Linked DNA regions of Drosophila melanogaster. The protein of the gene in region 1 interacts with the protein of each later gene in a pairwise test. Each region holds a gene or a part of one and is shown in the gene's direction. Other genes may lie near its edges.

Evidence for each region.
Region 2: the proteins of Orco (region 1) and Or43a interact in a two-hybrid assay, tested with the Drosophila melanogaster proteins (2 studies listed by BioGRID, with this or other methods).
Region 3: the proteins of Orco (region 1) and Or22a come close enough for resonance energy transfer, tested with the Drosophila melanogaster proteins (3 studies listed by BioGRID, with this or other methods).

The regions. Positions count from the first base shown.
Region 1 is NT_033777.3:5,406,579-5,414,111, reverse strand, and holds Orco (odorant receptor co-receptor), read left to right. Parts: upstream 1-1,705; 5' UTR 1,706-1,717; intron 1,718-3,642; exon of another isoform or gene 3,643-3,840; intron 3,841-4,187; 5' UTR 4,188-4,188; coding exon 4,189-4,496; intron 4,497-4,566; coding exon 4,567-5,081; intron 5,082-5,178; coding exon 5,179-5,404; intron 5,405-5,819; coding exon 5,820-6,024; intron 6,025-6,385; coding exon 6,386-6,541; intron 6,542-6,609; coding exon 6,610-6,660; 3' UTR 6,661-6,929; downstream 6,930-7,533. UniProt on the Drosophila melanogaster protein: Odorant coreceptor which complexes with conventional odorant receptors (ORs) to form odorant-sensing units, providing sensitive and prolonged odorant signaling and calcium permeability.
Region 2 is NT_033778.4:7,232,292-7,236,889, reverse strand, and holds Or43a (odorant receptor 43a), read left to right. Parts: upstream 1-1,976; 5' UTR 1,977-1,997; coding exon 1,998-2,442; intron 2,443-2,617; coding exon 2,618-2,888; intron 2,889-2,951; coding exon 2,952-3,051; intron 3,052-3,195; coding exon 3,196-3,297; intron 3,298-3,363; coding exon 3,364-3,471; intron 3,472-3,566; coding exon 3,567-3,671; 3' UTR 3,672-4,050; downstream 4,051-4,598.
Region 3 is NT_033779.5:1,518,693-1,522,680, forward strand, and holds Or22a (odorant receptor 22a), read left to right. Parts: upstream 1-1,798; 5' UTR 1,799-1,920; coding exon 1,921-2,048; intron 2,049-2,108; coding exon 2,109-2,747; intron 2,748-2,866; coding exon 2,867-3,224; intron 3,225-3,290; coding exon 3,291-3,359; 3' UTR 3,360-3,464; downstream 3,465-3,988. UniProt on the Drosophila melanogaster protein: Odorant receptor which mediates acceptance or avoidance behavior, depending on its substrates. The odorant receptor repertoire encodes a large collection of odor stimuli that vary widely in identity, intensity, and duration.

The DNA.
Region 1 (7,533 bases):
TGCAACAATATAAAATTAAGCTTAGAATTATTATTATTTTAATAGCTATCACTATCGATTTGCACATTTTTATCCGTATGAAAATAAAAATTAGGCAAGACACTTAAAATTAAGCATGCAAATTCTAATCACATGATTATTATAGATTCTATTAATACTACTACTGAGCCAACTTATATCGATATTCAAATAATATTTGTATTTTAATCTTCCACACGTTATATAGGCATATTTAATGCACCTCATGCTTTTACATAATTGCCGAAAGAGTGGCAACGTCTTGCCACAGCGTCTCTTATAATTTTAAACTCGTGGAGCTGAGCCATCTCAGATTTAACTCTCCCTGCGCATGCTCTCGCGTGGGAGAACAACTTCGAATTTCGGGCAGAAGGATAACAAAGAAAGCACTCCAACGAAACGAACACCCTACAGACTAATATAGAACACCACAAGACCAAAACTCGTTTAGTTGCCGCGTTGACAACTTTGTGGCAGGCGGCAAACAAACAAACCTCACACTAGTCCTGAATGTCCTTTATGCGGACAGCTGTGGGGGCGGGGATCCTGTTGCAATTCCATTGTGAAAGCCAAATGCATTGACCTGCTTAGACAGCTGAGAGATTTACAACTCCCCTATAACTCCTGGCCGTGCTGCAGTTCTGGGAAAGGGAGCAGCGGCATTAAATGGCAAATAAATCTAAAGTTAAACTTTTGACACTGTCTCGGCGAGCAGCCACGAAGGCACTTCCTTCCGACTCCCTCGACTTCCGGTTGGAATCTGTCGCCCTGTCAGCGGCAACAGAAGAAGTGACACTGGCACGCAGACAAGTGCACTGAGAGAAATTGCTTCGGTCATAGCTCAGTGAAATACTAATTATTTCTGCTGAGAAATATTGACAATTTAAAACAAAAGTCATAAAATATGAGCATACATTTTTTATGATTAACTAAATACTAATGCATTCGTTAAATATATATATACCGCCGAAAACAAATTAAGACATTTCCTATTCTGTCAATTACAATTTCATATTCAGTTATATTGTTTTAAACTAAACTGGCGATATATAAACTTTCTGGCTGAAAAATCTTTCTGAAATTGTACACCAGCAATTTCTCCATGTGTACTACTGTGCGATGTATAAGGATTGGATTTATGAGCGCCCAGCACCTCTACCGAAATCTTATAAAACCCGGGAATAAATAATAATAATTCTTGCGCTTTTCGCTGTTGTTCGCATTTCCCGCATTTCTCTGCCATTCTTTTCCATTCTTATGACAATGTCAACATTTCTTTTGCTCCCCTAATGGCCTGAAGAAAGCACACGCACACACACACACACATATAGACCACTCGCACACTATGAAACCGAATGTGGCACACACCCCACGCACTTATTTATATGTATTTTCGATCGTCTGTTGTTTTTCCAAGTCGGTTATGCATAGCCATAAATTCTGGTAAAAGCCTTCTGTAGGTCGAGGGCCACGGCGGTCCGAAAATAAAGGAATTGCTCCTGATGCTGGCACTTACGCACACAGCCAAGCAGCAGGATGGGAGAGAGAGGACCTCGCACACACGGACTCACGCACTCACACGCAATTGGTGTTCTCGCCGTTTTTGTTTGTCACTTAACAGATTTTTCTGTCCTTGCTGGGTATTGATTTCTAATTTTTCCTTCGTCGGCTTTGCGCCCCAAAGAGGTTTTTATAATGTGTGCGTGTGTGTGTGTGTGTGTGTCGCATTGATTTCGCAATTTATGGGCGATTTGATGGATTGCTTGAATAACTTTATATGCTTATTTTTGAGTTTTTATTGTTTTACAACTTGCGGTATTTTATGTAGAGATCCTGTGGACGACCTAATGGAAATCATTTGGTTTTGGCTGAAATGCGGCCATAAAGGTGTGAATCAAAATAATGTTGCCTATACTTCGGGTATATCATTTCATATGGAAAGCGCTTAATAATAATTATATAAATATATAATTTCTAGTTAATGTGACTTTATTAACCCATTAGTGCGTTTTAATCATTTAATTTGGCATCAGAATCGATCACAGTCACGAACACAAAAGCGTAATGGTAAAAATAAAGGCTCATTTGTTTAAGTTGTAAATTAAATAAAGCAAGTGTCACTTTCCATTTAAATGTTGCCTAATAATTAATGACAAAAGGCTGCAGGGCTCACGATGTCCGCGGTTAGCTAATTGATCCAAACGCATCCGCGTAATTAAACTTTCAGCCACAAGCCCATAAAATAAATCAAAAAGCGAAGGACCGAAAGGGGCAACATTTAGGGGGGGGGGGCTTGTTTCGCATGGCTGAGTTCAGGACGATTAAACGTTAAATCAATATTGTTAAATCCCCGCTCGCATCCCCGCAATCCACACAGGCAAGTGTTCACGTATTAATTGATGTTCGTGAGTGTCCTGCATTTAAATAATCCATGATTTGGGACATCTGTGTCTGAGTTCCCATTCATATATGTATGCATATGTGTATATGAGTGGTGGAAACTAGCTGCAGATATAGCTACAGACACAGATACATTTACATTCCGGCACATAGTTTTAAGTGTGATTCAGTTATTCACAATAGTCGCCGCTTTTTGTTCTTGCCACGTTTTAATATTGTCACAACTAGTTTCGAATAACTAAATTGGATGTTTTCGATTAGCATTCAATACACTGCTCAGCAATTTCGTTTGCGTTGCAATTTGAGTACTAGATTTTGAATTAGACAATTGTTTTATTAATTGCCTACATGTATATTACCTAACTGATTTCGAAGGCCACTTGTACGACCTTGAGATAGAGTATTAATTATTTAAATTCTACTGTATTATAATTGCAAAGAATTGTAAGTATTCATAATATATAATGGCAACCCAATTTAAGACTTCTTTTGAAGGCCCCCGCCTACCGAAATTCAGTGCCTATGAGAACTGAGAACGAAAAAAATTGAGCAAGGACCAAATATCCATCAGGCTGAACACACACATTTTCATGCAAATAGGCAATGTGTTATTTTTTTGGGTCAGCGATTCACGGAGGGATCCCCACCAAATGGGTTGGCTGAGGAATGGCCTATCCCCATATCTCAGCGGCACTTGGGGCAGGCCAACAAATACAAGCAGGCATAATAAAATAATCGATGCTTTTAAAATTTGCATAAGTTTGGATACCGCAGATGCCGCGCAAGGATGAGCCCATCTCCAGTCCCAGTGCCATTCCGCCAGTGCGCATACGCCGCGTGGAGGGCACAGGACTGGGCCATGGCCCATGGCCCAAAAGCGGAGTCCTAGACCCGGAGACGACAGCAGTGGTGGACAAGTTCGTGGGCGTTCGATTTAATTGTGGGAATTCTGCGTCTGCCACGCACCCATCACATCGATGGACGTGGCTGAAGAGCTGAATTTTTAAGCGCTCCAAGGCGGCCCGATACCCATATTGTATATTTTCATTACCATGTGTGGGTCGGAGTGAAAGTCGCGGGCTAGGATTTAATGTGGCCTTGTTGCAGCCGTGGGAACTCGTCCTCAAAGTACACGTCCTTATGTACAGCGGAGCAAGTACCTAGCCGACAGAAGGAGCAGGCACTTGTCGACAGAGCTTTTTAACCTTCCGGATTTCACATTTCATTACCGTCGACATCGCGGTGCTGGCAGGTCAACTGTGTCCTGGTTCCGGAAAGCCTCATATCTCGTATCTTAAAGTATCCCGGTTAAGCCTTAAAGAGTGAAATGATTGCCTAGATGATTGCTGCATTACTGGCACTCAATTAACCCAAGTGTACCAGACAACAATTACATTTGTATTTTTAAAGTTCAATAGCAAGGTAATAGCACTGGGTCTTTCAATATTACAATATTACCAATTAGAGAACCATATATCGTACACAATTGTTCCACATTCCGAATTTAATAACTCACGATCGATAGCCAAATTAATATTAATTTGAGAGGACATGAGTCCACCTGAATATTCAATATGCATTATACATTATCCCGCTATGAATAAAACATTCCAAATCGATTCATTTCGGGCAGGAAAATTCCTTTTCTACTCGGCAAGCAAACCAAGGACTAATCACAAATACGGAATATTGAACAGATTACGTTCATAATAGCTGATTGTGTTGGCGAAACCTATTAATTTTGTCGTGCAATTTCCGCCGCTCAACAGGATGACAACCTCGATGCAGCCGAGCAAGTACACGGGCCTGGTCGCCGACCTGATGCCCAACATCCGGGCGATGAAGTACTCCGGCCTGTTCATGCACAACTTCACGGGCGGCAGTGCCTTCATGAAGAAGGTGTACTCCTCCGTGCACCTGGTGTTCCTCCTCATGCAGTTCACCTTCATCCTGGTCAACATGGCCCTGAACGCCGAGGAGGTCAACGAGCTGTCGGGCAACACGATCACGACCCTCTTCTTCACCCACTGCATCACGAAGTTTATCTACCTGGCTGTTAACCAGAAGAATTTCTACAGGTGAGCCTCTGCTCACCGCACCGAGCTTACGAACACTTGGGGAATTTAAAATTTTATGTTTTTCCGGCAGAACATTGAATATATGGAACCAGGTGAACACGCATCCCTTGTTCGCCGAGTCGGATGCTCGTTACCATTCGATCGCACTGGCGAAGATGAGGAAGCTGTTCTTTCTGGTGATGCTGACCACAGTCGCCTCGGCCACCGCCTGGACCACGATCACCTTCTTTGGCGACAGCGTAAAAATGGTGGTGGACCATGAGACGAACTCCAGCATCCCGGTGGAGATACCCCGGCTGCCGATTAAGTCCTTCTACCCGTGGAACGCCAGCCACGGCATGTTCTACATGATCAGCTTTGCCTTTCAGATCTACTACGTGCTCTTCTCGATGATCCACTCCAATCTATGCGACGTGATGTTCTGCTCTTGGCTGATATTCGCCTGCGAGCAGCTGCAGCACTTGAAGGGCATCATGAAGCCGCTGATGGAGCTGTCCGCCTCGCTGGACACCTACAGGCCCAACTCGGCGGCCCTCTTCAGGTCCCTGTCGGCCAACTCCAAGTCGGAGCTAATTCATAATGAAGGTGATTTGTTGAGTCTGAACCTAAACTTTTAGGCGGTTATTCAGTGAGCACTTCACTGAATAGGAAAATGCCATGACGAGCTGTTTTTCCATTGCAGAAAAGGATCCCGGCACCGACATGGACATGTCGGGCATCTACAGCTCGAAAGCGGATTGGGGCGCTCAGTTTCGAGCACCCTCGACACTGCAGTCCTTTGGCGGGAACGGGGGCGGAGGCAACGGGTTGGTGAACGGCGCTAATCCCAACGGGCTGACCAAAAAGCAGGAGATGATGGTGCGCAGTGCCATCAAGTACTGGGTCGAGCGGCACAAGCACGTGGTGCGGTGAGTTCAAATCCTGGCCAAATTGGACCAGCCATTTCAAGGGGGCTTTGGCCAGTGATGATTGGATTTTTGGCGATTTAAATGGCAGAGCAGTCCACTCATATTTCATGGACTTGGATTTTTGCCTTTAACAGAGCACCGAACATAATAAACACACACACTTTCCCCTCAGTTTTGTAAAACTTCAATAGGCGCCATCGGAACATGTGTTCTCATTTATTAGGAGCTCAACAGATCCCTGCAGCTTGTTTGACTTACTTGATTACTTCCTCAATTGCAATCATTGTTGGGGGCCCTAGAGGAATGTCCTTGTTTGTCCTGTCCGACAGTTGGCGTGTGCAGTTGTTGATACCAATATTGACTTGATTCCTGCCTGCAATCCCTCATCCTTTCCCCCGTTGCCTTTTCCCCACAGACTGGTGGCTGCCATCGGCGATACTTACGGAGCCGCCCTCCTCCTCCACATGCTGACCTCGACCATCAAGCTGACCCTGCTGGCATACCAGGCCACCAAAATCAACGGAGTGAATGTCTACGCCTTCACAGTCGTCGGATACCTAGGATACGCGCTGGCCCAGGTGTTCCACTTTTGCATCTTTGGCAATCGTCTGATTGAAGAGGTGAGTTTGTGCAGGGTTGCAAGATAAATTTATAAGTAAATCAGACATCAGTCTCAACTGATTAATAATCGAGAACATCCTTATTTGAGTTATAGGGATATTTATAAAAAATTTTGAGACTTCATTAAAACTAAATGAATTGTAAGTTGAGAGTCAACAGATTGGTCCGTTCACTACAAGCTAACCAGTGTGTTTTTTCCATGTGGTAGAAATAAAAGGGTGTTTTTGCGTATGAGATAAAATTGAACCAATGTTTTCAAGTTTATAGATTGGGAAACATACATAGTTCTAAACGTTGTTATAGTTATAGTTTGTGTAGTTAGTTATCTAGAGCATCCTTAATACGACTTTCATTTCGCAGAGTTCATCCGTCATGGAGGCCGCCTACTCGTGCCACTGGTACGATGGCTCCGAGGAGGCCAAGACCTTCGTCCAGATCGTGTGCCAGCAGTGCCAGAAGGCGATGAGCATATCGGGAGCGAAATTCTTCACCGTCTCCCTGGATTTGTTTGCTTCGGTTTGTTGCATTTGATTTATTGATCTATTGATGGAGTTAAAACTGAATCGGATATTCCCGATTCGCAGGTTCTGGGTGCCGTCGTCACCTACTTTATGGTGCTGGTGCAGCTCAAGTAAGTTGCTGCGAAGCTGATGGATTTTTGTACCAGAAAAGCGAATGCCAAGAAGCCACCTACCGCCCCTTGCCCCCTCCGCACTGTGCAACCAGCAATATCACAGAGCAATTATAACGCAAATTATATATTTTATACCTGCGACGAGCGAGCCTCGTGGGGCATAATGGAGACATTCTGGGGCACATAGAAGCCTGCAAATACTTATCGATTTTGTACACGCGTAGAGCTTTTAATGTAAACCCAAGATGCAAACTAAATAAATGTGTAGTGAAACTCGAAGGTTTAATGGGGGGTTAATAGAATAGAAACAGGCGGAGTTTATTTCATTTTAAATTTCGAATTCATTCGAATTTATTTGCATCTTAAGTATTAATATATATATATATTCTGCATATACAATATAAAATCTAGAATATTGTCAACTATAATATATTTTGGTTTAGCAAACTCAAATAGAGAACTGTTTCTCAATTACTTTAATGTGTGTTATGAACTTTTTTTTCTGAGCTCCATTGTTAAATTGCTAGTTTAGATTCAAGTTGGGTCAGGAGCGGCTTGTAGTCCATCAATTAGTTTTAATTCAATAATTATCGGTGCTGTTCACATGATAAGCGTGGAATTTAATGGGCTAGACGCCGTGTTTATCGCATCACTGGCTTGCATGCCGCAATTTTCACGGCAAACGTATGTGCAAAACGAACTAAATTTAGGAATAAATGCGGATTATAATCATAATCTTTGGGCCGTAGTCGTTTTGGCCACATTTTTGGCAACTGTTGGCGCAACAGCAGAAGCAGTATGAGTACGATTAGAAACGGCCAGCCATCGTCAGCAGTTGCAGTGGCAACAATTAAAAGTGGCAAAAGTGTAATTC
Region 2 (4,598 bases), on another chromosome or scaffold:
ACTTGGTACGCATATGGCTGGGGGTTTGCTATATTTAGCGGATTGTCCACCACCATCTCGGGCAGCAGAGTCTTCAATGTCAGAATCAGCATCCGACACGTCTTGCTCCATATTCTCCGCTTCAGCAGACAAAAGCGCGAAGCGATTGTTATTTAATGCTGCTGCAGTGGAGGTAGAGGCCTCCTCATTGAGTGGCATAGTGGCCTGCCTTTTAGTTTTACGGCTTGGAGAAGGGGTGAGGATAGGTAATGGGGGCTGAGACACGCCTTTTCGTTTCCTGTTGACAGTACGATCATGTGCTTGAAAGGGGCATTTCGCTTTAGATGGCTTATTGGGCAGTGATGACAGAGGTGTCGGCAGTCCATTGTCATAAGGCGTAGTTGGGCAAATGCTAGTGGTCACGGTTGTGCAATCAGTGTATGTAGGAGTACAGATCATGTTGGCCTGTACGTTAGAAATAGTGCAGGTAACACTTGCATTGGTGTTGCTGCTGATTGTCACCATTAAGCTGGAGACCGTAGATTGAGTTGGCATACCTTCCAGGTTAGGGGAAACAACTGCACAGCTGGCGCGGAGTTGGGAGCGTAATTCTCCTGGCTCAACACCTGCTACTTTCCTCATTTTCTCAAATTTATCGCACCCATTGCTAGGTCGCGATTGAGCAAATGAATTCTCCATTATATCAATTGTCTTTATACTTATGCCGTATAATGCAATTGATATTTACTAAACACGATAAGATTTACCGGTTTACTTGTAAGGTAAATTGTAACAACCTCCCGCTTGCGCAGCGCGCAGGGCGAGGGGCAAAAACAACACAGCTTAGAAATTGCTAGTTGCTGATAAGTTTCGCGAACCGAAGCCGTCACCGTTATGCAGTGACTAAAAATAGATTTTGTTTGTGAGATAAGCACACGATCTGCGCAAATGTTTGTGATGGATCACAATTACGTTTTTGTTTTATCCGCGACTTCTGTGAACACGTCCACTCGATTGCTCATCTCCCATGCGACTGGCTCGGAAGAGCATGGCAAAATCGATGGCCAAATTAAATGGGGATTTACATATTCGCTCAGCGAGAGCTTTAGTTTAAAGGGAACGCTCGGTTGACTCATTGGTTGCTGGGAAAATATTTGTTTTTCCAACTCATTTAAAGAGTATCTATGATGCCACCTAAACTACATACATTCCACCAGGATTAATCAGGATAAAATCATGCTTATTTCTATTACTTTCTAGATTTCATTAGTCTAAGTTGCTTACTCTTTAAGCTAGTCATATTTTCATTAATTTACAAGCAATTCAATGAAAGGCTGTATTTAAGGGAACATTTTAAATATGTTTATGCACAATAAACTATACAAATAAACGCAGTTTAAGGAGTTGGTAAAACAATTTCACTTCAGATTCAATTGTATATGTAACAAAAATCAAAACAAAAAACACTTTAATACGCTTAATAAAAGGCCATTTAAATACGCCTCTTACTTCTATTTTTAAAATATGAAATATTTAAACAGCAATACTGACATTAAGCTCTGCTGACATAATATCTAAAATTTCCAATAAAAACGATTTAATTTGAATTCGATTATTAGATAACCCGATTGAGGGCATTAATGCAATTGGAAATGCAAATCTCTTCGGCTGGATTTCCAATCAGCCCAGCTCTGCGCCCCATGGGAATGGCAATCGCAATCGAACTTCAATTACATTACACTCATCATTAGCCAATTAGCTAAATTATAGGCTGTGCGACGACAAGTGCCAAATGGCCTCAGTTCCCAATCCCAATGCCCATTTCCCATTTCCCACTTCCCAATCCCACTTCCATTTCGAATCGTACTGCCACTTCCGTTTATAGTGTCAATCGCTAGCCCGCAGATTGCCCTCCTCGATGGCGACAATTGGTGCAGAATAAAAGACATTTGCCCAGCACTTTGCAGCACAGTCTGGAGTGGATCTGCCGGTAAGGAGCTTATAGAAAGTGCCGAGCAATGACAATCGAGGATATCGGCCTGGTGGGCATCAACGTGCGGATGTGGCGACACTTGGCCGTGCTGTACCCCACTCCGGGCTCCAGCTGGCGCAAGTTCGCCTTCGTGCTGCCGGTGACTGCGATGAATCTGATGCAGTTCGTCTACCTGCTGCGGATGTGGGGCGACCTGCCCGCCTTCATTCTGAACATGTTCTTCTTCTCGGCCATTTTCAACGCCCTGATGCGCACGTGGCTGGTCATAATCAAGCGGCGCCAGTTCGAGGAGTTTCTCGGCCAACTGGCCACTCTGTTCCATTCGATTCTCGACTCCACCGACGAGTGGGGGCGTGGCATCCTGCGGAGGGCGGAACGGGAGGCTCGGAACCTGGCCATCCTTAATTTGAGTGCCTCCTTCCTGGACATTGTCGGTGCTCTGGTATCGCCGCTTTTCAGGGAGGAGAGAGGTTAGTACACTCACAGAATGGGATTAAAATAACCGTCATTCAAATCGAAAGGATATTTGTAGAGTAAAAGAGTGGAAAATTGCTAAATAGTGGTTAAAACTGCAAAGTAGTTTGTGCATTGCTTAGTTTTTCGAATATAAATTCCCAATTGGTGTTGTCACTTTTTTCCTTCCAGCTCATCCCTTCGGCTTAGCTCTACCAGGAGTGAGCATGACCAGTTCACCCGTCTACGAGGTTATCTACTTGGCCCAACTGCCTACGCCCCTGCTGCTGTCCATGATGTACATGCCTTTCGTCAGCCTTTTTGCCGGCCTGGCCATCTTTGGGAAGGCCATGCTGCAGATCCTGGTACACAGGCTGGGCCAGATTGGCGGAGAAGAGCAGTCGGAGGAGGAGCGCTTCCAAAGGCTGGCCTCCTGCATTGCGTACCACACGCAGGTGATGCGGTGAGCCGCAGGGGAAGAAATCGGGGGTTGGGGAAATCTCTAAGCTGCTCATTTCCATTTCAGCTATGTGTGGCAGCTCAACAAACTGGTGGCCAACATTGTGGCGGTGGAAGCAATTATTTTTGGCTCGATAATCTGCTCACTGCTCTTCTGTCTGAATATTGTAGGCCACTGATTTTGAGTTCGGGTGCCACAGAGCCTCCATAAATTGGAAGAACCAAAACTTTGGGATGGCGGTCTTCTATGGCACTGTGGCACTCCGAGATCTAAGACTGTGGTCCTTTTAAAAATACCATTACCATTCCAGATAACCTCACCCACCCAGGTGATCTCGATAGTGATGTACATTCTGACCATGCTGTACGTTCTCTTCACCTACTACAATCGGGCCAATGAAATATGCCTCGAGGTGATACTACCAACTCCATTCAATTTGATAGCTATCCATGACTCCTTATAACTTGTATCCATGCAGAACAACCGGGTGGCGGAGGCTGTTTACAATGTGCCCTGGTACGAGGCAGGAACTCGGTTTCGCAAAACCCTCCTGATCTTCTTGATGCAAACACAACACCCGATGGAGGTGGGTGGGCATTGGGTGCATTTCATTTGCGAGTCATTGCGAGGACTGTAATCCATTTCCATTCCGGGTGCTGTGCGCTCCATTTCATCTTGCAGATAAGAGTCGGCAACGTTTACCCCATGACATTGGCCATGTTCCAGAGTCTGTTGAATGCGTCCTACTCCTACTTTACCATGCTGCGTGGCGTCACCGGCAAATGAGCTGAAAGACCGAAAAAACCGGAGTATCCCCTTCCATATTCCCCCTGCTCCTTTATTTTCCTTTTCCTTTTCCCTTTCCCTTTTCCCATTCGCTTTTCCAGCAATCCGGGTAATGCAAAAAGTTGTTGCTGGCTGTGGTCCTGGCTGCTTGTTTGGCATTTGCATATGCTTGTCGTTTGAAAGGATTTAATCGGACTGCTGGCACGGAGTCGGCATCCTGGCTCCTGGATCCTGGCATGCAAATAGTTGGCTTCTTAGATTGTTACACAAAATAGATTGTAGATTGCAGCTGAATGTTGTGCTTGGAATAAAGTCAAAAGGATGTGGAGTCGGCCCAAGGCTCTGCCCATTCTGTTTGCTCGGGATGCCCGAAAGTATGATTCACAAATATCAAAGCATTCGGATTTGCGGCGATGGTGGCTTTCAATTAGGGCAAGAAGGATGTTCCACAGCGATATGAATAAGTAAATATTTGGTCTTCCAAGCAATTAGTGTTGATATTGATTGAGTGGCATTAGTTCGTGCTTTATGCCCTATGCATTTTTTATTGCTCAATTTTCGCCGCATACTTTCAGGCTGGCCCATCGAATTTGAATATCCGAGGGTCGCCCTCTGCGCTTTTAATTAAAATGCCCAAAAACTAGTCGTTGTCTGGTGCAATTTAATTAACATTAGTCATGTCCTTTATTATGCAAATAAACTGCTGCTACTGCTGCTGCTTCTGTTGCTGCTGCTGTGAGCAGGATCGTTTAATGCCGGCCCGACAGCAATAACAACTTAATTTAAAATTCATTATAACTGACACCAACTAGTTAAACAATTGCCGGCGGCAGCAGGAACAGCAGCATAAACATCAACAGCACCAAAGGACAACTAAGCGGGAGCACAACAAGGACGAAGGACGAAGGAAGTAGGAAGGCTGAGGGA
Region 3 (3,988 bases), on another chromosome or scaffold:
GGAGCGGCCAAAGGTTTACGAGAAAATATAGTATGGAATTACACATATATTGATATAATTAGTTGAACTTACCCAAAACAAGCTAAAATAAATATGTTAAAGTACATTTATCGTGTATATGCATTACTTTAATAGCGATGTTCTCATATATATATTTTTCACCCTTAAACATTACCACTTAAAAAACTTAATCACTTAAATTCCAAAATATTTGCGTGCGTACCAATCCATTTGTCATCAGATCGCCGTCAATAAATTTATGTTATGTATACGTTGTTTGTAACCGGAATATGTTGTAAATTAGTCAAGCATATAATAGCTACTGTCGCCACAGTTTTAATTAGTTAGAGGAATAGCCAATTAAAACCAAAAATAATAGTAATAGTTCGGTTGTTTTCTTTTTTTGTACCATATTCTGTGGTGTTTCGGTCACAATTTAGACTAGACTTCAATGACCAACGATGAGAATCAGTCTGAATTCACACATATGGTATATTTTCCAGGAATCGTTGATTTAAAGATGAGTTTGTAAACTGTGTAACCTCTACTTAAGTTGACTTTTCAATGATTTAATTATAGCTTGTGAAACTCGCGATAACTTAAAAATTAAAAAATGCAAAAAAGCCCGTTTCGATCGTTTACACAAAAATATACCCATTAGGAATAAAATGCACGATCTGGAAGGATCATAATTTGCCAATACCCACCCATCTTTATAACTTAAATTGGATTGCGCACTGCAGACGCTGATTGAATTTTAAATTTCGTCTCTCTACCATGAGCCGGAAAAAAAAAATGTAAAATATTCCGATTAATTACCAGAACCGACAAAAGATTCTAGGGCGGGCACATGGACGGGTTGTCTCCGCCGAATGCATTTAATTTGCATGTTCACGAAGGTCCTTTTGTGTGCATTTGTATGTCTGGATGTCCGTCCTCAACGCCAATGAGTCAATATTATTACGGTCGACGCTTCACACTCTCCGTGAAATTGGCAAAAGGGAAAGCGGCCGCAAACGCTGGCAAAAATGCTTTCAATTAATTAAACACCCGAAAAGCAAGGCTATAATGAGAATGCAATGTGCTGTGCAAAGTGCTCTAAAGAGAGATGTTTGGTCGGGGAAACCCGCAGCGGGTCCCTCGATCAACTCAATCAACAATGATGCCAATTTACAGGACACTCGATGCACGTAGCGAAAGCTTAAATGATGTCCAAACTTTATATTATATCTTTGAAATTGTTTTAAAGTCATTTGGGATCTGTAAAGTTGTCTAAAGATTTGCTGTAATACATAAAATATATTTATAATATGATTGATACACGTTTAATCTCTTCTATTTAATTCATTGTGTGCCTTTCAAGGTCTTCAGCACATCATCATTTTTATACATTTTTAGAATATATTTCGGAAATTATAAATCAAATTTAAGCCGCATATTTTTCACGAGTGCAGTCTGCGGCATGCAGCTCATTAATAATACAGATAATGTGTTTGGCGGCAATCATTTTTCGGTTGCATGCCATCGCGGTGGCATTGATTAACACCGCCAATGGTCAACGCAATGTCAGACGAAAGGCAATGATATTGGGCGGGAAAAGGGGAATTCGGTTCAGTATGGTCGTATGAAGATGTATGGCGAATTAATGTATTTTTGGTAGTGTTTTACTCGGTAAATTGCTTGTTAAGTTCCTGATCGTTGAACGAGCATAATTCCATTCAGCTGAAATGTAACCTGCGGTCGATTAAATGTCATATGACATTTTCTACTGACATTCTTTAAAAACTTACAGCAAATACGAAACAGAACTAAAGCTCTTAAAACCGCCAAGTCATGTGAGACCATTTGCAACAGTGAGGCAGCCTATAAAAAGCACTGTTTCCCAGCTCAAGCAAATATTCAAACAAAGCCACGGACAAGATGTTAAGCAAGTTTTTTCCCCACATAAAAGAAAAGCCATTGAGCGAGCGGGTTAAGTCCCGAGATGCCTTCATTTACTTGGATCGGGTGATGTGGTCCTTTGGCTGGACAGAGCCTGAAAACAAAAGGTAATGAAATCAATGTAAGCACATATATAAGTATTAAAGCTACCATAATTTCCCGTAAAGGTGGATCCTTCCTTATAAACTGTGGTTAGCGTTCGTGAACATAGTAATGCTCATCCTTCTGCCGATCTCGATAAGCATCGAGTACCTCCACCGATTTAAAACCTTCTCGGCGGGGGAGTTCCTTAGTTCCCTCGAGATTGGAGTCAACATGTACGGAAGCTCTTTTAAGTGCGCCTTCACCTTGATTGGATTCAAGAAAAGACAGGAAGCTAAGGTTTTACTGGATCAGCTGGACAAGAGATGCCTTAGCGATAAGGAGAGGTCCACTGTTCATCGCTATGTCGCCATGGGAAACTTTTTCGATATTTTGTATCACATTTTTTACTCCACCTTCGTGGTAATGAACTTCCCGTATTTTCTGCTTGAGAGACGCCATGCTTGGCGCATGTACTTTCCATATATCGATTCCGACGAACAGTTTTACATCTCCAGCATCGCCGAGTGTTTTCTGATGACGGAGGCCATCTACATGGATCTCTGTACGGACGTGTGTCCCTTGATCTCCATGCTTATGGCTCGATGCCACATTAGCCTCCTGAAACAGCGACTGAGAAATCTCCGATCGAAGCCAGGAAGGACCGAAGATGAGTACTTGGAGGAGCTCACCGAGTGCATTCGGGATCATCGATTGCTATTGGAGTAAGGTGTTTCAAATGCTACAAGAACACTGTGTCGCAAAGACATAGTAAAATGAAATATTTGAAACAGTTTTCTTCTATTCCTTTCCTTTTTATTAATGGCCTTTTTTTATTTCTTAGCTATGTTGACGCATTGCGACCCGTCTTTTCGGGAACCATTTTTGTGCAGTTCCTCCTGATCGGTACTGTACTGGGTCTCTCAATGATAAATCTAATGTTCTTCTCGACATTTTGGACTGGTGTCGCCACTTGCCTTTTTATGTTCGACGTGTCCATGGAGACGTTCCCCTTTTGCTATTTGTGCAACATGATTATCGATGACTGCCAGGAAATGTCCAATTGCCTCTTTCAATCGGACTGGACCTCTGCCGATCGTCGCTACAAATCCACGTTGGTATACTTTCTTCACAATCTTCAGCAACCCATTACTCTCACGGCTGGTGGAGTGTTTCCTATTTCCATGCAAACAAATTTGGCTGTGGGTGTCAATATTTTAGATATATCATTGATTTTACACCTATTTTAAATTACTTTGTTATTATAGATGGTGAAGCTGGCATTTTCTGTGGTTACGGTAATTAAGCAATTTAACTTGGCCGAAAGGTTTCAATAAGTTGAGAGGGACGAGCTCTGCTACTATTATATTATATATTATATTATATTATATATATATTATTTTATATTATATATTGCTGTACCCTAATAAATATTTAGTAATATCACTGTTTTTCATATATATCAAACTTTGTGGCGCCCTCGGGTGGAAGAGTTTTGAAAGCCAGACAAACTGGAATACTGCAGTTTTTCGCAAAGGAAGGTGCATGGGTCGGATACACCACAACTGTCCACTTAATAAAATGCATTATTGCCAAATAACTAATGTAGTTACTTACAAAAAAAAAAACCGAAACATATAAAAGCTACAAAAACAAAATATGTGAGAGAATACAAGGGAAATGTATAATTCATACAAACTCTTTAAGAAGAGTTTCTTGGTTAATTGATCGATTTTAAACTTTTTTTTTTACTTATATTTTCCTTTTAGGTGTGAAGGTGTAGTTTGTAGGTGATTGTGGTCGAATGGAACCATACATTTGTTAACGTTTTCCCCGGTGACATTCCCGGAAAACTTTTAGCAAATACGAAACAAAGCTTAAGTTCTTGAAATCGCCAAGTCATGTGAGACCATTTGCAACAGTGAGGCGGCCTATAAAAAGCACTGTTTTCCAGCTCAAGCAAATA